Linked DNA regions of Oryzias latipes. The protein of the gene in region 1 interacts with the protein of each later gene in a biochemical or structural test. Links are inferred from orthologs where the notes say so. Each region holds a gene or a part of one and is shown in the gene's direction. Other genes may lie near its edges. The genes, in order: ras-related C3 botulinum toxin substrate 1, rho GTPase-activating protein 32, chn2, pak1 and hace1.

Region 1 (4,388 bases):
CTCAATGGATTTCTATATGGACCTGTAAAAAGACAAAAACGTCACATTTTCCATTTTGCACATTCAAAGGACAAGGAAAAAAGCTGATATACTACATTTCTGTGGTATAAAAGTATCAATTATTGCTAATATTTCATATTTAAGATTGAAAAAATCTATTTTGTTGTTTCCCCTGACTGATTACACATTACAGACTACTGTTTTTTATTTTAGATCAGATACAAACACTAAATATGGGTGAATATGAACTTGTTTCACTATTGATCAAATGTCAGTAAATTATTTTTCCGATTAACAGATGATTTTCATGAACCCAGTTTTATGGGACAGCACGTAGTAGAGATTATATATCAATTTAACCTGGGATTAACTGACTATAAGAACAAAGGTTCCCTATCGAGGCCCCCCAACAGCTGTTGTTGGCATGGTGACAAGCTCACCGTGACCGTCAGTCTGAAAATAGTGTGTAAACATTTACCTGTAATCTGACGTTAAACACCATTGAGGCTACCAAGTAAAAGTAGGGGAATCGTATTCTCAGCCGCCATGCGAGATCAAAAAATATCAACAAAGTCCTCGTCAAGCCTTTGGAGAATAGTCCGTAAGTCCGACCAGCGGAGCCCGAAAACCGGAGCACCAGATACGAAAGACTCGCCATAAAAGCCCAACCCTGAGCGCTGTGTTCTTGGCTTACAAAGGCAACAGGCAAGGGGACGCTACAATGGCTGCAAGTGTTGGATGAAGCTCCATTCTTCTATCTTTCACCCTCAACGAGCTCCGTCTTTTGCTGCCGTTGTACTGGCATCTACTCCACCCTGTTAGTTTTCTACCGAGGACAGACATCGCTGCGACACACGGAAGTGCAGTAAAACCAGGATTAAATAAAACCCCGAGTAAAGACTGAAAGGACTTCCAGATCTGGGTGGTGGCTAAGGAAAAAAAAAACACGTCCTAGACACAACTACTATGGTTCTCATAAAACTAAACAAACAGAAACATAGAAGAGGTTTTTTGAGTTACTAAATATGTATATATGTTGTTTTTGCACCATTACAAAACCAGGTAAATTGGTTTGTTTTCCAGAAGTTCACTACACAAAAAATCTTGAACTGAAGCAAAGTACTACAGACTTTTTGGAAATACAATGACCAACTAATCATTGATTGTGTTACATTTTTGAAGCTAAATATCTTTGTCGTATTAGAATAGGCACACATTGACTTTTTTTTTCTTTTACTACTTTATTTTTTAATACAGTGCATGTTTGCTGGTATGGTATAATTGAATTTATCGTGGTGTAGGGGTGGGAGAGCAAGCTATCCTTCCATCTCCAAAAAAACTTTTTCAGCCTGAAAGGCATAATTCAGGGAAATTAAACAACACACCAAAAATTCCATTGTAATCGTAAATGAACCGTAGACGCGTCAAAACTGACGTCAGTTCCACCCTAGGTGTCACACCGTAAATATTCCGTCTTCGACGATTTCTTTTATTTTGTTTTCATTAAACCAAAATGTAATATTTTAGTTTTCAAATGTTATTTATATATAACTTTAAGCTTTATATTTAAGACCAGAGTAGCTGACCCTTTTTTTTACTACTAGTTTGAGGCTATCTTTTCTTTGGTTAAGGTGTCTGTGGGCGTGCGCCGGATGCCCTATCTTGTAGAGCTGGCTTCATTTTTTTTTCTCTTTAGCTATAGGGGTGGTGGCCGCTGTTTTGCTCCATAACTCATAGAGCAGCTCACGAAAGCATGGGAATGTTGCCAGGGAATTTCTGAGTTTAGTTGACCTAAAGTCCGAATTGAGTCGCCGCAACTTTATTTTCTAACAAGCCGTTCTCCGTTTAGAAAGTTTTGAGTTAGCGCGGTCGACTGTTAGCAAAGACTGTTGGGTAGTTTCACTTGAGAGGAGTTGCGGACAAAGGACAAGCTATCCGAGCTAACGTTAACTGGCTCTGGGCTAACTTAGCATTCCTGTAGCTGCGGCGCAATGCAGGCCATAAAGTGTGTCGTTGTTGGAGACGGGTAAGTTGAACCTAACTAAACTCACTGTGATATTTAACATTTAATCGACAGTTTTGGTATCAAACCCTGAAACCGCCAGTGATGTCGAAAAGTTGTCATTCGACATAAATGTTGCGTCTTATTTTTGGAGTTGTAAAGTTAGCCAAGTTATCGGTTAAATATTGGACTTTCAAGTTCTTTTCTTTTTTTTTCGAAATGTACAACATTTTGTATTGCATTTGTTTTTCCCCTGATATTACCGTTCTGGATCCAATGTTCCAGATTTTTTTATTTATTTACGCCAAAATCAGTGAATAGAGTTAGATTGATCTTAGATTTGTTTTGAAGTTATTTTTGAACAAAATGGGCAAAAATTATATGTACTTTTTCGAAGAGTTGAAATTTGTTTCTTCTTCTGTTGTATTGACACGGGCGTGTTTTTGTGTTACACAATAGTTAAATTAGTAGGTTTAGTTTGCAATATTTTAAAGACAGGATTGTCAATGAGCTAATATTGAAAGTCTGACTGATGTGTAATATGCTAGAGGTAAACACACTTGTAACGTCTTGTCGAGGGTGCGGCTGGTCCCACCGCAGCGGAGTCGTCCCTCGACCTCTCCGACTTTTGTTTTGTTTTCCGTTCCGACTTGAAGAAACTCTAAGGCACCAGTTCTCTTTAAAGTTTCAAAAGTTTAAAATATCTGCTTACTCATCAACTAGCCTGGAAGAGAAAAAAAAACCTTATTTCCTGAAATCAGTGCACTCATTCTATCAGGAGTGCTTCAATAAAACTGACATTACCTACGAGATGATAATAAATGATTAACTGGCAATTATTGATTTTTGATATTGGATTATTTTGATCCTGCTTTTATCCTACGGATGATAATGTGACTCTCAGACTTCCTCCTTTCAGTTTGTTAAAAACCAAACTTTGCGTAGTGTCCACATTTAACTTGAAACTATATTTTTAATGGTTGTAATTATTTCAAGTAACTTTGATGTTATTAAATAAAATGCTTGGACTGTTTTTAGCTTTGTAAATGTAAAATAATCGAACAACTTAAGCCTGACTTTAATGACAGCTTGTATATGTTTTATTTTCCTGAATTCTGAACATAACATTTCTCTTATTCAGTGCTGTGGGTAAGACATGTCTACTCATCAGCTACACCACCAATGCCTTTCCAGGAGAGTACATCCCCACAGTGTGAGTGTTTATTTATTCATAATGGCTAAGCTGTCTGTCATTCTTCTTCTGGACAGTTGTTGCTTAACTGTGTCTTTGTTTCATTTCTTCAACTGGTCTTATGGGGGAATATTAGTTTCCTTGTACATAAGAAGTCACTTTCTTTTTTAACAGGCAGCTGTTTGGGTTCAGAGAAGCATTTGTTATGTAAAATTACCAGAAGTGCAACCAGCTAGTTTATTTTCTTAGTTGTGGGATCTGTGGCTTTTTGGGAATTTGTCACTCAAAACACTTTGGTTCATTCTGATTATTTATAAATGTACATTCTGCTTTTATTCTGATTCAAGAACAAGCTGAAAACATGTACTGCTGATGAACAAGGCTTTGATTTTTGACCCCCAAAAAACCTGTTTGATTTATCTAATGATCATAGAAATTCAGAAATATGTAGCAAGGCTTGAATGACATAACTGAGTTTTTATGAATGCTTGATTCTCACAGGTTTGATAACTACTCTGCCAATGTTATGGTGGATGGGAAGCCGGTGAACCTGGGCCTTTGGGATACAGCTGGACAAGAAGACTACGACAGACTCCGCCCACTTTCTTACCCACAGACGGTACAATGACAAAAATAGTCAGACAAGGTGTTATTTAGTTGATAACTTTTATAAATAATTAATTGGGAGCATTTGTGGTATTCAAATGTAGAAGAGGGTTTTAAAGAAAGTTAAACAGACCACCTTAGCGATAGGTTATTTATTTTTATTTATTTTTTGCTCAACAGGAAATGAATTTCATGGACTCTGAACCTTTTTTGTCTTTGTCTTACAGGATGTGTTCCTCATCTGCTTCTCTCTTGTGAGTCCGGCCTCATTTGAAAACGTCCGTGCCAAGGTTAGTGGTGCCTGAGCAAAAAACACTAATAATACAGATGTGAACACGTTGACTTTTTTAATGTTGGTAATTAAAATACAGACCTGTGTTTTTTCATATACAGTTTATTTTTATTTTTTTGTAAAAAAAAAAAAAGTGTATTTAAAGAACAATTTCAAGAGATGTGTACTATTGATTGGCTTTTTATGTAGAAAACTGGCCCAAAACACATACATTTTATTCATATCTAAGGCTACATTTTTACTATTCCCCAATCTTCTTACTTTTTGTGTTTCTTACACTTTTTTGTTAAATATTT
Region 2 (3,892 bases), on another chromosome or scaffold:
CCACACAGAAAGGTCCCCCATTGATGTTCTGGTTCAGGTCAACCAGCCGGGAACGGCCTTCTTACTGTGAGGCAGGAGCGCTTTCCACGGCTCCCCGGACTTCTCTGTTGTTAAGTGAATACATATCTGGAAGTTTTCAGTCCTTCCCTGTGTAAAGTGAAGGGCTTGGCCTGCTGTTTCCCTGTGAAACGTTGGCGTCTGCAGATCTAAAGCTCACGCAGAAGACCTTTTTTTTCCTTTTTCAGTCTTAATGGCTGATGAATGTGGGATTCCGTCTGTCCTTGTTTGACCTCATCACTTTGATCCCTGCAGAATTTATGCAAAAAGAAAAAACCTGACCAGAGGAAGAACCACAGCAGCTTTTTACACCAAACTGTTTTTGAAGAAGACGTCCATGAAAATGAGTTGCTTCACTTCAGTGCTGGTTCAGCCGTCTTCCTGTTTCCATGGGTTTCTGGTGTCCTGCTGCTGATGATGTCTGTGGGGTCAGAGGGAGGAGACACATGAGGGATTTTCTGAAGCATTCTCAGTGATGTTTCCTCCAGGTTTATCTGGTCCTTTTGCTTCTCTTCCCATCATCCATCCTCACAGCTCACAGTTTGGTTTTTGAGTAGAAACAATCGAGGAGGCGTGGTTTCGGGGAGGCGGCACTGATCACATGACCACATGCTGTCCGCCTCACGGCACGTTTCCCCCAAAGATGGAGGGTTACAGAAGGTAACATCTGACCTCACAGCGCCACTCAACCGGAACATGTTACATCAGCGCTTCCAGCACTTTTTCATGCAGCGTCTGTTTGTTTGTTTAGAGATACGACTAAAGGGGTGTCCAGTGTAATGACATAGCTGGCTTTCAGTGGTTCCAGGTGCATTGTGGGAGTTCACTTGGTCTGTCTGCTGTAGTAATGTTTGTGTTGGATTATTGAGACTTTTGTTCTTTCTTTACTTGATCATTGGTGTGTTTGTGGGTGCAAGGCAGCCCCCCCCCCCTCAGGGTAGTCAGTAATGACGGCTGACCTTCTGGCCTGTGGCAGAGAGGCAGTGAGGTCAAATGTGGCACATGCGGGTGGGGGTGGGGGGCCACAGGCACAGAAGCTACCCTCCTGCGTCCGGGGTCTCCGCGCCCCCTACTGGTTAATCACCGCGGTGATCAAAAATCCCACACCGTCACAGCTCCACTCACAATGAAATGTCTTCTGACAGGCGGCTCACTCAGCGAGCACACTGACAAACACGGAGCTTCTCCAAACACTCAGCACGTTCCCCTCCAGTGACTTCACACTGCACCTCAGATTTCTGTGGAGCCTTGCTTCTTCTCATTTTACTCTCACTGGTTTCTAAGACAAATGCAGAATGCAAAGGTTGTTTGAAGGTTGGCACGTTTCTCCTCTTTCCTCAGCTCTCACTGGGAGACGAGCAGTGTGAGGTGACCAGGAATGGCCACGAGTCCAAAGAGCTGGTGTACCTGGTGCATATTTACTGCCAGGTAAGACCGCCGAAGATTCCAGCGCTCGCTTCTGTTGGGTTTCCAAGCAGTCAGGTGTTCCAGTAATCTTCCACATCAGCAGTTTGCAGCCCCTTTAGGGTGGTCCGGTCCCCGTTTGGGCTCATCTCATCTCTGACTTGGTTTGAATGGAAGGGAGCTGGGGGGGTGCTGTGTTTGTCAGGACTGCCCCAGTAAAGCAACACTTTTGAAGCTTGATGGTTCTGCTGAGAAGGCGAACTGCAACATTCTGTTCATCTGTTGTGATTGAAGCCAAACCCAAACTTCAGAGGGATGCGGTTCCTCCGGCTGCAGCGGGCTTCCCTCCCCACCCGCTGCTCTGCAGCTTCATCCTGAGCGGCCCGTTCTGAACACATTTCGCTCCACGCAGGTATGCAGCCACGTCCTTGGAAACGGCGGGGCTCCTGCCACAGCCGTGTGGAAAAACCACGTGGCTGAGCTCTAGCGCTGGACGCTGTGCTGAACGCCACAAACCCAGAAAGGCGGGGAAACTGAAAGTGGGGCAGCACTTTAGAAGCGGCGCTGGAAGGAGCGCAGCGGTCTCAGAACGGGACCTGGACTCTGTTCAGACGGATCAGAGCAGCAGACTTTTTCCTCCAACACTTCATCTTTGTGTGGTTTTGACTTTTCTTTAGTGGAGAAAAACGCTTGGAACTTTTTCATCACTACATTTATTTGTGGAGACGCAGAACAACCTGTTTATATGACTAACTTTCCAGACTCAAAGCCAGATTTCAGGGTTCTGCTAGATTCTATTTGAGCAACAACCAGAAAATGGGTGAAATGTTGCAGAAATGTAGCTGTCTGAGGTCTGCTGGGGGTTTCCTTCAGCCCGACCCTCCTCACCTCACTCCCAGCAGCCAACCATCTTCAGAGGGTCTCCAGCAGGCCCTTCTGACAGAGCTGCCTCTGAAAACAGGGCAGGCTTCCCCACAGATGATGGCGGAACCGCACAGATGGAGCAGAAACTGTGTGCCGTCACAGCACTGCTCAGCGCTGAGGAAGGATGAGTTTGAGTTTGGCTCAGCTTTAGGCGGCCTGATCCAGGCGCAGACTGCCTTCTGAAGATGGTCAGGTAGAAGAACTGCATTAAAGATGGCTGAAAAAGAACAAGCTGTGACTCTCACTGGAACATTCCACCTGAAAACCTTCATGTGAATGTGTTTAACGAGGACAGACGTGTTTGTCGTTCTTTCTGCTCACTGGCTTGCCTTCTTGTCTGTGTTCTGCAGGGCCGCAGCTGGATGGTGAAGCGCAGCTATGAGGATTTCCGTGTCCTGGACAAGCACTTGCATCTGTGCATCTATGACCGGCGCTTCTCGCAGCTGCCCGAGCTGCCCCGCCTGGAGAGCCTGACCGACCTGCCAGAGGCAAGGCCGCATGGCGAGGCTCGCACCCGCCTTTCTCAACTTCCTCCTCACTGGAAAGATGTGTTTCCTCCGTTTTCAATAGACCTGTTCGGTCCACGCTGGGAAAACTGAATCTTTAGTCGCAGCCCATCCTCTCCCCCTCTCACCCTCTCATCCTCTCACCCTCTCATCCTCTCACCCTCTCACCCTCTCACCCTCTCATCCTCTCACCCTCTCACCCTCTCATCCTCTCACCCTCTCACCCTCTCACCCTCTCATCCTCTCACCCTCTCACCCTCTCATCCTCTCACCCTCTCTTCCTCTCTTCCTCTCACCCTCTCATCCTCTCACCCTCTCACCCTCTCTTCCTCTCACCCTCTCTTCCTCTCACCCTCTCATCCTCTCACCCTCTCATCCTCTCACCCTCTCATCCTCTCACCCTCTCTTCCTCTCACCCTCTCACCCTCTCATCCTCTCATCCTCTCTCCCTCTCATCCTCTCACCCTCTCACCCTCTCACCCTCTCTTCCTCTCACCCTCTCATCCTCTCACCCTCTCATCCTCTCACCCTCTCTTCCTCTCACCCTCTCATCCTCTCACCCTCTCTTCCTCTCACCCTCTCATCCTCTCTTCCTCTCACCCTCTCATCCTCTCATCCTCTCACCCTCTCACCCTCTCTTCCTCTCACCCTCTCATCCTCTCACCCTCTCATCCTCTCACCCTCTCATCCTCTCACCCTCTCATCCTCTCACCCTCTCACCCTCTCATCCTCTCACCCTCTCACCCTCTCTTCCTCTCTTCCTCTCACACTCTCACCCTCTCACCCTCTCTTCCTCTCACCCTCTCATCCTCTCTCCCTCTCATCCTCTCACCCTCTCACCCTCAATTCCTCTCACCCTCTCTTCCTCTCACCCTCTCATCCTCTCATCCTCTCTCCCTCTCACCCTCTCGTCCTCTCACCCTCTCTTCCTCTCACCCTCTCATCCTCTCACCCTCTCACCCTCTCACCCTCTCTTCCTCTCACCCTCTCATCCTCTCACC
Region 3 (4,520 bases), on another chromosome or scaffold:
AAATTAAAAACAGATTATGCACAGTGGCACTGTGTGCACGGTGGAACAGTGATTAGCACTCTTTCCTCTCAGCAAAAAGGCCCTGGCTCACGTCCCAGCTTAGATCTGGGTTCAAGTCCCTTACGGGGTTTGAATCTTCTTCCCATATATGTGTGGTTTTCTCCAGTCACCTCCCACAGTTCAAAATATGCCTCATGGGCTAACTATTTACTCTAAAATGGGAGTGATTGTGTGCAATCTTGTGATCCTGAAAGGGGTGTTGTGGGTTAAGAAAATCAGTAGAGAATTTATCCAAACAGTGGTGTATTTTTTTCTTGTGTCTTCACAACGTTCACACCTTTTTTTGTCACGACTGACCACACCATCTTAAAATGCATCTACATCCATGCTCAAGGAGCGTTTTTATCGGCGGTCAAGTATATGTGTTTGTCTGATCGTGTTCAGATTGTACTGAAACCAATTTCAATGCCAGTGGAAGCTGTGCATGTAACACATACATGAATCTGACTCTATGTGCCAAATTCAAGTGACGCTAAAAATGTTTTATTGTGGCCTGTCAGTTTTGATAATGTGCTAGTGAGCTAATAACTTTATAATGACAAAACCTCAGAAAAGAGGAACCAAGAGTATAGTTACATTACTCTGTTAAAGAGATACCTACTAATGATTAAATGCAGAAATAAATAAAGTTTGCTTTTTTTAAGTTAAACGTTTTCCCACAGTGCAGGGGGAAGGGGGAAGGGGGAAAAGATGAAGAAGATGGTCATGCTGAAAAAAAGAGTCAGGTTGCAATGCTTTCAGAAAGGGAATTGGTCATTTATTTAAAAATGTTTTCTGTTCTAGAGATTTTCAAAGTAATTCATATTGGCCTACCTATTATATTGTAGGCAACTAAGTAAAGAATATTTGCCTTTTAAAATAAGAATTATTGGCGACTTGAAAGTGCAACTGTTCTGCACAACTTGCTCAAAGTCAGACTGGAGAAGACAAAAATTGTGAACTGATATTATGTCAAATGTGACATTTCAAAAATGACCACATCCATACCTTTTGAACATTAAGTTCTAGAAAGTGGATTTACTTCAATTCACTTATACTTCAAATAAAAGATCCCCAAAAGAGAAAAAAAAAACTGTTTGTGAACCAGATTGCTTGCTGTGAAACCGTTCATGTGCATTTGTGATTTTTTTTTTTACGTGTTTGCATAAATATATTTGTGATCCGGAGCGTGTGCATTTGTGAAACAGCTTCTGTGCATTTCCAGAATATGAGAGTGAGCTGGCCTAACAGTAAAGAGTCCACAGTTTTTTTGGCCTAGTCTTCAATTATAGATATTTATTCTCAAATAAAGTGAAATAAATGTTTGGGCTTCTTTTGAAAGGATTCCTTGGTTCTCTTTCCCAATTCTTTCATCAATCCACCAGATGGCGCGTAAACATCACCCATAGGGCGCTTTTAACGCAAAGTAGAATGTTATGACATTTGGAAAAAAATGTCATGCAGTTCAGGAACTGATCACACGTGGTTTGGCTGGTTGAACGAATCATTCATTTAACAGGAGAAGACACTGTAACAGTCTGGGATTCTTGCAGACTGAGGTAGGTCGGTTGTTTGTTTTCCGTTTGTCTGCACAGCTCCAAACTTTCTCTTTAAGGCGCGTCGACGCGGTGGTGCGTAAATTAACAAATATTCCATACAAGCGGCGCACATGGGAACCATGGCGCCTGTCCGCGGCAGAGACCCAAGCGTTTTCTTTTGAGTGTCAAGAAAAGCCGAATAATCAACCAAACGTATCCCTGCAGCCTGTCTACTCTCCTGCGTCTGCAGCGTCAGTGAATGCGGCAGCGGCTGCACGCTGAGGCGCACAGCGATCCGAGCCGAAGGGATCCTTCAAACGGAGGGGATCAGGATGAGAGGAAACATCAAGTGATCTGGGGTGAAACGGACTGACATGGAGGCACCGCCGCACCCGAGCTGTGAGCCTACTTTGGCCAAACGGGAGTGACCAAGGCGCAAAACTCACTGGTTGGGATGGCAGCATCCAGCAACTCCAGCCTCTCAGGTTCATCCATGTCCTCTGGTAAGAGTTAACTAATCTAATTGAGGATTAAATCTGAATTTATTTGTTTAAATTAAAATCTACTTAGATGCTTTTGTTATTTCAGATTACATGTATTACTACTTGCTTCATTTGCTGTTACCAAACTTCTACATTGTGTTACATAAAGTCATTCAAATGCTTTATTTACTTGGGATTAAAAGAAAAAGAAGAACATTGAAATTTCCTTTAAATGTCCCACAAATGCACATCTCTTCGCACAATCTTTGGAGAATCATGGAAAAGCATTTGGTCTCAGAAATAACTGGTATCAGCAGTGGATTGACCAGTGTTGGAGACTGGATGGGAACATTGAGGAAGGCTTTTGAGTGTTTGTTATCCTTGAACCGCCAATCTTATTGACCTTCTACCTGCTTGACTGCCATTTTTTTTTTTTTTTTACAAACGCACCAGAGTGAGATGTTCTCTGAAGACGAAAAAATCTGGAATGCAGTTTTGGAGTGACATCAGACAATTTAAAGTGCTGAAGTGAGCACAAAACTCCTGTTGAATCTTCTAGCATGGAAGGCACAGGCCAATGTGAGACTTTGCTGCTGTTTCCCCAGGTGCATTACAGTGCAGACACACTGTGCAAAATTCTGATCTAAAATGTGACTCTGGCCTTCACAGAATGAAGGGAAAAAAATTTGGATCAGCTACCCAAATAGAAACTTTCTTTTGGTTCAGTGAGCTGCTCACGATTGCCAGGATAATGTCAAAACTCAGTAGCGGTGAGATATTTTTTTTTTTTTGTGGGATGATAAGAAAGGAAATGTCACATTAAAGCACACACATAGTTTTTGAGTTTGATATTTCTAGGAAAAGCTGGATGTGGGAGTTTGGTAGGGAGAAGGATATGAGGGTAAAAAAACACAGTGTTTGTTTTACTGTCTCTGCATCCCAGCCAGGCCACATTACAGCGTCACATTTCCCAAGGTGCTGCCCATGTGGGCGGGACAGACAATCATTTCCAAGCTCATCCAGCCTGTGGTAACCACATGCCTCACAAAACATTATATCATGTGTGCATTTTCAGAAAGCCGCATTTGACCACTGCTGCTTTGAGAAGAAAGTCTTGTCTATCTGCGGCCCGAGAGAGTTGTCATTACAGTTGGACTTGCAATGTAATTATCAGGGGTTACAAGATGCAGTGCTGCCAGATTTGGAGTAATTGTCGCAGGGGTGTTATTATTTCTGTGCAGAGCTCTTTTGGAAAAAGACACAACATTTCAATAATCTCGTCTATGAGGCATATCATTCTAACGTGAATTTCGTGGGGGCTTCTTATTTGGAGAATTGTACAGAAACAAAGTTCATTCATTAAATTTGCCCCCATGCCTCTGATTGTTCTCACAATAATTAGTTTAGGGAAGTAAACATTGATTTATTGATGTTTCCTCCAATTTTTTTTCACTGCTATAAATTCTTCTGGCAGCATTCATCCCTTTTGTTTCTGAGCGATTAGGTTTACTGGCTGCTTTTGGAGCACAGAGATGTTCCTGCATGTTCTTGCAACGTAAATGCATAACAGGATGTGTCACTTTGCAGATCCCTTTAGAAGGAGGAAGGTAGTAGAAAATCAAAGGGACATGGCTTGAACTGTACAGCTTCTTTGACCTTAATAAAAAAAACTAATCGGAGGAACAGAGTTCCAGCCATGTACTTACATAGATGCTGTTTGCTAAACAGGATTTTGCAAATGTTTCTTGTAAATGTTGCAATTTGCCTCAACATGTTTTCATCCTAGGATCCATTTTTCTTTATCCCCTTCAGGGCTGAAGGGGTGTGTGTTTGTGTGTGTGTGTGTGTGGGGGGGGGGGGGGGGGGGTAGTAGACAGGTTGCCAGTCCTACCGAGGACATGTCAGTTTTTCTTGCTCTGCAGGGTAATTCATAAAGGGCTGCATGTTTGTCACACACACAGAGCTGGAGAATTGTCACTAATATGATTGGTTGCATCAATGGCAGAAAAAGCATGTTCTGTACAGAATTTACACAGTGTGTTCTCATTCCTGATCCCTAAGGTTTTTCCTTTTCTTGTTTTTTTTTTTTTTTATTGGCTGAATCAAACAAGCTCACCCCTGAAAGACAGCCTCACACCTGTCATATATTATCTGGTCAGCTGACGCTAGCCAAAAAAAATGTTCTAAAATGATATTTTCTATGCTGCTGTCATTCCTGTTTGTATGCATGTACCCAAGGGTAATCAAAATGTACACCCAGTGTATCTATCTCTGCACATCTGTTATACACTGAAGTACATGGGGAAGACAGGAAAATACCAATAACACAGCATTTTGTATTAATACACTGGCACTAAGGCCAAATATTTGTTGATAAACATATTTCTCTGCTAGAACAAAGAACTGGGATAAATCATGAAACAGTTGTATTGCCTTATTGTTGGCTCTGTGAGCCATATAT
Region 4 (2,931 bases), on another chromosome or scaffold:
AGCATTAGGAAAAGAAGAAGCCCCCCCCTGCTCGTCCAGTGTGAACACCAGATGCTAAACACGTGTTCAAGAACGCGAATCACATGCCCGGTGTGAACATAGCTTAAGGGTCAACGACCCTGTTTGGGTGCATGTGTCTAAGGCTTTACTATCAAAAGTGTTTGTTGTTTTGGTGCCTCATGGGTAGGAGGGTTACTCTACTTCCTGTTCAGTGTCTTCAGGCCCTGGAGTTCCTTCACTCCAACCAGGTCATCCATCGGGACATCAAGAGCGACAACATCCTGCTGGGCATGGACGGCTCTGTCAAACTCAGTCAGTGGCCTTTTGGTTTCTAGATCTGTTCCAGAATAAACAGCAGATTTGTTCTCCAAAAGGTGAACTCACTAATTCTTCTCCTTTCGCCTCTTCCAGCTGACTTTGGCTTCTGCGCTCAGATCACGCCGGAGCAGAGCAAGCGCAGCACCATGGTGGGGACTCCATACTGGATGGCTCCGGAGGTCGTGACTCGCAAAGCGTACTGCCCCAAAGTGGACATTTGGTCTTTGGGCATCATGGCCATCGAGATGGTTGAAGGAGAGCCACCATACTTAAATGAGAATCCTCTTAGAGTGAGTTTGATTGATTTTTTTTTTTAAACAAAAAGGTTTTCGTCTTCAACCTAAAAAGCTAAATCCTGATGGATTCTTTTTAAATCTTTCTTTCTGCTATGGATCCATCCTGGATGAAGGAGAGTCTTCAAACGTTTTCTTTTTTCACTTTTAGGATTTTTATTTATGTTAACCAGAAAGATTTTTAATCTTCTGTAAGTCCATTTGAGGTTAGTCAACACTTTCTTCTGGTTTTGGTTTAGGAGTTTGTAAATCAGCATCGTTGTGAGGTTTTGTTTAACTCGCTTTTAGCTGCACTGAGGGCTTTATGTCTGGATCTGACTGTTTTATTCTTACATATTTTGATTGAAAATTGTTACTTGTTATCTGGTTTATTTTATTTTTAAGCATTTAATAACTTTTGTCCTAAAAAAATGATTCTAAATCCTATTTTTATGCCTATCAGCGCTTCCTTTAGGGGGTTGGTACAGACCAGAATCCTCAAAACAAAAACGTCTAAACAGCTAATAAGTGATTCATTAGCCAAAATTAGAAGTATACATAATATATGCATATATAACAATATGCATATGCCATTTTTGCAGTTTGAAATTCAAAATAAAAACGCTTTATTCGTTACGATGGACATGCTGAAGAACACTGTGACCTTAAGGGTAGTTTTTGTGGGATTTCTGCCTCTTAAACTGCCACTAGATGGCACCAAAGCACCTCTCTGGATCTCTTTTTCACTGTCCAGCTCTCTAAGGGAGGAAAATATCCTTTTTTCTGTTTTGCAGGCGCTTTATCTTATTGCAACCAACGGGACCCCAGAGCTGCAGAATCCAGAGAAGCTGTCAACGATATTCAGAGACTTCTTAAACCGATGTCTGGAGATGGACGTGGAGAAGAGAGGCTCTGCTAAAGAGCTCCTGCAGGTAAACCCGCGCTAAGAAAATCCTTTTTCACAGTACAGAAACAAACAGAAATGTTATGAAACGGACCAAAGTTTAGTCAAATACGCTCCACTGTCACCATTTTAAGGCCTTAAGAAAAACATATCGGTCATTTTACACTTTTAATAAATGAAAATGTTTAAAAAAAGACTTGAAGTAAAATAAAAGAAAGCAGAACATTAAGATTGTTATAGAGGATTCCAGCACACTTACACAAGAGATCAATGTTGATCATGAAACTATTTTGACAAATAATTTCTGTTTAAAAATTTTAATGAGCTAATTTATTTACCTGAAATTCAGCACATATACTTATTATAATAAATTAAATTACAATTTTCCTATTGTAGTATTTGACCATTTATATATTTTAATATTTCTTTAGCTTCATATCTCACAGACCCTTGATCAACCTGCTGTTTTATCTCTTCTCTTTCTCCCCCCCTTCCTGCATCCTTTCATCCTTTGCGCCCCGACTCCTTTCACCACCTTTGCCCTCCCTGGGTTCCCGGTGTTCTTCTCACAGCATCAGTTTCTGAAGATGGCGAAGCCTCTTTCCAGCCTCACCCCCCTGATTCTCGCAGCCAAGGAGGCAGCCAAGAACAACCGCTAGCTAGCTAGCTAGCTTTGTTTTTCTCCCCCACCTCCTCCTGGCGTCCGGCGTCGTTCACAGGAAGGTGGCGTTGTATGTGCTTCTGGCTGGATTATGACGTTCTTCAAACGCCTTCCGTCTTTGTTTTTTGTAAAGTTGCTTCGACTGTTATTTTCCTCCACTCTTACCTTTGACCCCTGAGTCTTGACCCCCCCCCCTCCTGCACATCTCCTGGGGAGAACGAAGGATGAACTTCAGATCGCTGTGGAACAGAACATCTCAACGGAGCCCAAAGAAGTGAAACGGCGTCCCGGTCCAGCACAGCCAGCCTTTACGTGTGCGTGTGCGAGAGCTTTTAGTCGGTGAAGCTGTAGGTACTTTTATCTGTTGTCACGGTAACGCACGTGTTGGTCCCTTGCTGCCCGCAGCATCACCTCCTGTAGGTTTAGGTGTATATCCGGAGAGGTTTAGTTTTGTCTGAACGCGGCTGCGCCCAGAGCCACTGATGGATGGAGTTTGGACATAGAATCTCGGCGCTGCTCACAGAGGGGGCGGATGGGGTTTTTTTTGGGCAGATGGGGGTTTTTAGGGCAGTTTTGCTCAATTTTATAGGCTGAGGCCTTTATCCTCTTCAGAATCCTCTGGATCAGGAAAAATGCTGGCTTTTGGGAGGTCAGTGTGAAAAGCTGATTTAAAGTCATTTTTAAATGTTTTTAAGAGGATTTCTAGAAAAAAAAAGACAAATAAAATGATTCAAATGGATATCAGTAAGTTCAACCAAAAACAAAGCTTTTTGTGT
Region 5 (3,892 bases), on another chromosome or scaffold:
AACTCTTTCTTTTGATGATGCAGCCGTATTAATTTGATGGGCGTATAATCTTCATACGCCGTCATAAAAATCTCCGACTCCGTCTCACTGGAGGGTTACCAAATCGAGCGTGATTACGCTAATTCATATCTGGTCTTTTGGAACAGACATACCCAGAGTAAGCAAGTTCAGGTGGATTTCAGCCAGAGTTCAGGGTTAAAGTCAGGGTAGTTTAAACATGCTTCCTGGAAAAAAAACCCAGGCCTCAAGGGCTGCATTCCTGCATGTTTTCATTATATTCTGCTCTGGCATGTTTCCATTGGCTGGACACTCCTGAAACAGGTCATCCGTCATGAGTAGGGTGAGCGGAAAGCTCAGCACTGAAGAAGCCGTACAGCTGAGGTAGCCAAGCTCAAGCAGACACCACAGGCAGTGCGGCCTCGGCCAGATCTTTGGTTTGACGAACAATGTCCAAGAGGTCTTGGCGGTTGTAGATCTGCTTTACAGGGGACCTTTAGCAGGATGCTTACAAAAACGAGGAGTTCTCCTAAAACAACAATATTGTACCGCTGTATACGTGGACGCCGCAATCATGTGATGTGGCATAATCATGCTAAGTATTAACTCTGGTCTCATCCTTGTTTTCTAGGGTCAGGGCGTGGTGCGGGAGTGGTTTGACATTCTGTCCAGTGAGATCATTAATCCAGACTATGCCCTGTTCACACAGTCCGCTGATGGTATGTGGACCCCCCCGCCCCAGAGAATCCAACATGAAGCTTCGTTTTGCTGAGATGAGCTTGTTTGTGTCCTTCACAGGTACAACGTTTCAGCCCAACAGCAACTCCTCTGTTAATCCTGATCATCTGAACTACTTCCAGTTTGCTGGTCAGATTCTCGGCCTGGCTCTGTACCACCGGCAGCTGGTCAACATCTACTTCACCCGCTCCTTCTACAAACACATCCTGGGTTAGACCACCGACCTGTGTGTGAATATTACCCTGCCTCTTTCAAGAAGTAAATGCTGTTGACCAATGGAAGTTTCAGTGAGACCCTAGTCACCTTCAGAAAGTTTGACTTCTATCAAGCTGACTCAGTGTGATTTAAAAAAAATCTTCCTTTGTGTCTGATAACATTCAATCATCTCATCTTTCACCCAAAGAACCTGAACACTAGATTTCTTTAAAGACCCACTCCAGTGAAAGTGGTGTTTTTGCCGTTTTTAACATGTTTTTGTAGCATTTTTCTCATAATAGAAGACATGTATAAAGGACATGAAAAGTCTTGCTTCCTCTGCTCCAATTCTAAATTCTCCGCCTGCAGACCATGAATGTCTTCATTTCCTCATCTGAGCTGTAGTGTGGCTCTAAACTGTGCGGCTGGATAGCTTTGATATTGGGCTGGAGTTGTTACACTGACGTTAGCTTGGGCTTGTGAGGAGCGTGTCGCTAGCGAGAGTGTGAACAGGGGCATGCTGGGAAATTAGCGAAAGGCTAACTTCTGCTCCAAGAAGTGCAGCTTTGCAGAAAGTATGTGTTAAAAACAACACAGGCTCTTTGATTTTAGCTAAAAACAGCAGCATCATAACTAAAAGACCACTGGGAACGATTTTCCAATAGAAAACAATAGAGTTGGAGTGAGTCTTTAAACCTACATTTGGTAATTTCCTACACATGCCGCAAGACTTTGGACATTTGTCCTTATCGATTGCTGACTTTTGTTTGTGTCCTATCAACATCGAAGGAGATTAAAAGTCTGCTTTCACTGTCATGAAGAATATGGCACAGTGGTGAGCTCAATCGTTAGCTGTGGTTTCTGACTTTACTACCCATGCTGGCGTCATCGTCAGAAGGAAGTGAAGACATTAGGCACATTTGAAAGGTTGGACTGACGACATGCACGTTTGATCCTCTAAGCTTGATGTGTGACGACGGCTTGATGGTGAAACTTGTTCAAAGTCAGAGCGGTTGGCCAAAGTTGTGTGGAATCACACAAACAAGGTTTCTCATGTGAGGTTTGTGCATTCTCAGGAATCCCTGTGAGCTACCAGGATGTGTCGTCCATTGACCCAGAGTACGCCAAGAACCTGCAATGGATCCTGGACAATGACATTAGCGATCTGGGCCTGGAGCTCACCTTCTCTGTTGAAACGGATGTGTTTGGAGCCATGGAGGAAGTGCCTCTCAAAGCTGGGGGAACAACTACCCTGGTCACTCAGGAAAACAAGGTGAGTGAAGACCTGAGGTAGCGTTAAAGGGCCTTCAGTGAGTCTCCTTGGTTTGTAGGAGAAAGCTCAATGTGACTGAAATATGACCAAGCAGACAAAAAGCTGAGCAAAAGTAAAAGTTTCTTTATTTTCTTTTAGGTCTGCATTAGAAATGTGTCCCTCAAAGACAGATGCTCTTAGGGAGAGTTCCTTTCTCCATTTTTCTCTACATTCACCGTTCTTGAGTTTAGATCTGAATAGTAAAAAATAGTTTCTTCTTCTGTTCAGGGAACTTTAACAGGTTGTTTCTTCAGTTAATTTAATAGTTAACTAGTTTCCAGGTTAGACAATAGGGACCGGGCTCAGTGACGTAAGCTATCCAGAGGTTTGTAAAATCGGAGGCATAATACGTTAGCGGTTTGTGGGTAAACCTTGTTTCTTTCTCTTGAACTTCATATGTTTAAAGGTTGTGGAGGAGTAATTCGGGTTTCAGGTTTTATTCTTTCCCTGTGATGCATTTCTCCCGATTTGACCTGACTGACCACAGAAACCAGACCAAGTCCTGGAGCTAAAACCTTTGATGTTGAAATTCTGTTTTAGACGGTTTTGTACGTCCTGGCAGTGTGTGGAGGGTTAGGTCTGTAAATTACTTCATGTGAACCCCCAACCCTGAATGATTAGGGGGAAATTTGTAGGTATTATGTATCTCTAGAAATGTGGCTATAGGGGGGGATCAAATGGCCTTCTCCTACAGAAAAGCAAGAGTTCTGAAAAAATAAAAATTAAATAAAAAATACTTTCTGTTAAGGGTATATTCCTGCAGGTGGCGCTGTTATACAAAACTTCAGACATCTACAGTAGATAGCTGTAGCAGGCACAAGCCAGAGTTTGACGAGGACTCTGATCTGTTCCCTCTCAGGCCGAGTATGTGCAGCTGGTGACAGAACTGAGGATGACGCGCGCCATCCAGCCACAGATAAATGCATTCCTGCGGGGGTTTCACACCTTCATTCCCCCCTCCCTCATTCAACTGTTCGATGAATATGAATTGGTACGTCTTCCTGTGCCCTCACCTCATCTGTCACTATATTGTCTTTTTCCTTTTCTTCCTTCCATCATATCAGCCCCTCAGATCTTCTCTGGGCTTCAAAGGGGGCTTTAGCTCTATGCAGGGCTTTTTTCTGCAGGTGCTGGCAGAGTCCAACTCTTTGCTAGATTGTGGATGGCTTCCAGAGGGAAACGGATGACTTCATGAGGTCATTTTGTTTCTTTTTCTATCTTTTCCTGTCCAGCAGCTGAGCAGATTAGAGCTAAAAGCCTTTAGGGCTGGACAGATTTTACTGTTATAGTAGGGGATTAAGTCTCACGCGTGGGTTTTCTCCGGGATCTCCGGCTTCCTCCCACTGTCCAGAAACATGCTTCATGGGTTATTTGGCAACTCTAAATTGTCCATAGGTGTGAGTGTGAGAGTGAATGGGTGTGTGACTGTGGACGTTCTACCCTGCGACAGACTGGCGACCTGTCCAGGGCATCCCCTGCCTACGCCCAAGTAGCCGGGATAGGCTCCGGCAGCCCCGTGACCCCGAAAGGGACAAAGCGGTACAGAAAATGAATGAATGAATGAGTAGGGGATTATGAATCTTCTGACACGCGAGGTGTAGATTTGTATAAACCCCTTTTGGATTTAAGGCTAAACTTTATTTCTATTGA

The links.
Region 2: of the proteins of ras-related C3 botulinum toxin substrate 1 (region 1) and rho GTPase-activating protein 32, one has a biochemical effect on the other in vitro, tested with the Homo sapiens proteins (3 studies listed by BioGRID). The link is inferred for Oryzias latipes from reciprocal best matches to the Homo sapiens genes RAC1 and ARHGAP32.
Region 3: the proteins of ras-related C3 botulinum toxin substrate 1 (region 1) and chn2 form a complex in vitro, tested with the Homo sapiens proteins (2 studies listed by BioGRID). The link is inferred for Oryzias latipes from reciprocal best matches to the Homo sapiens genes RAC1 and CHN2.
Region 4: the proteins of ras-related C3 botulinum toxin substrate 1 (region 1) and pak1 form a complex in vitro, tested with the Homo sapiens proteins (17 studies listed by BioGRID and IntAct). The link is inferred for Oryzias latipes from reciprocal best matches to the Homo sapiens genes RAC1 and PAK1.
Region 5: of the proteins of ras-related C3 botulinum toxin substrate 1 (region 1) and hace1, one has a biochemical effect on the other in vitro, tested with the Homo sapiens proteins (5 studies listed by BioGRID and IntAct, with this or other methods). The link is inferred for Oryzias latipes from reciprocal best matches to the Homo sapiens genes RAC1 and HACE1.

What each region holds. Positions count from the first base shown.
Region 1 is NC_019866.2:11,732,693-11,737,080, reverse strand, and holds the start of ras-related C3 botulinum toxin substrate 1, read left to right. Parts: upstream 1-1,443; 5' UTR 1,444-1,991; coding exon 1,992-2,026; intron 2,027-3,143; coding exon 3,144-3,215; intron 3,216-3,695; coding exon 3,696-3,813; intron 3,814-4,027; coding exon 4,028-4,090; intron 4,091-4,388. UniProt on the Homo sapiens protein: Plasma membrane-associated small GTPase which cycles between active GTP-bound and inactive GDP-bound states.
Region 2 is NC_019872.2:1,908,347-1,912,238, forward strand, and holds part of rho GTPase-activating protein 32, read left to right. Parts: intron 1-1,398; coding exon 1,399-1,485; intron 1,486-2,735; coding exon 2,736-2,873; intron 2,874-3,892. UniProt on the Homo sapiens protein: GTPase-activating protein (GAP) promoting GTP hydrolysis on RHOA, CDC42 and RAC1 small GTPases. May be involved in the differentiation of neuronal cells during the formation of neurite extensions.
Region 3 is NC_019874.2:16,128,368-16,132,887, reverse strand, and holds the start of chn2 (beta-chimaerin), read left to right. Parts: upstream 1-1,480; 5' UTR 1,481-1,598; intron 1,599-1,631; exon of another isoform or gene 1,632-1,802; 5' UTR 1,803-2,031; coding exon 2,032-2,080; intron 2,081-4,520.
Region 4 is NC_019871.2:4,551,855-4,554,785, forward strand, and holds part of pak1 (serine/threonine-protein kinase PAK 1), read left to right. Parts: intron 1-212; coding exon 213-312; intron 313-411; coding exon 412-608; intron 609-1,384; coding exon 1,385-1,522; intron 1,523-2,066; coding exon 2,067-2,153; 3' UTR 2,154-2,931. UniProt on the Homo sapiens protein: Protein kinase involved in intracellular signaling pathways downstream of integrins and receptor-type kinases that plays an important role in cytoskeleton dynamics, in cell adhesion, migration, proliferation, apoptosis, mitosis, and in vesicle-mediated transport processes.
Region 5 is NC_019874.2:9,386,889-9,390,780, reverse strand, and holds part of hace1 (E3 ubiquitin-protein ligase HACE1), read left to right. Parts: intron 1-628; coding exon 629-716; intron 717-795; coding exon 796-945; intron 946-2,006; coding exon 2,007-2,203; intron 2,204-3,101; coding exon 3,102-3,233; intron 3,234-3,892. UniProt on the Homo sapiens protein: E3 ubiquitin-protein ligase involved in Golgi membrane fusion and regulation of small GTPases. Acts as a regulator of Golgi membrane dynamics during the cell cycle: recruited to Golgi membrane by Rab proteins and regulates postmitotic Golgi membrane fusion.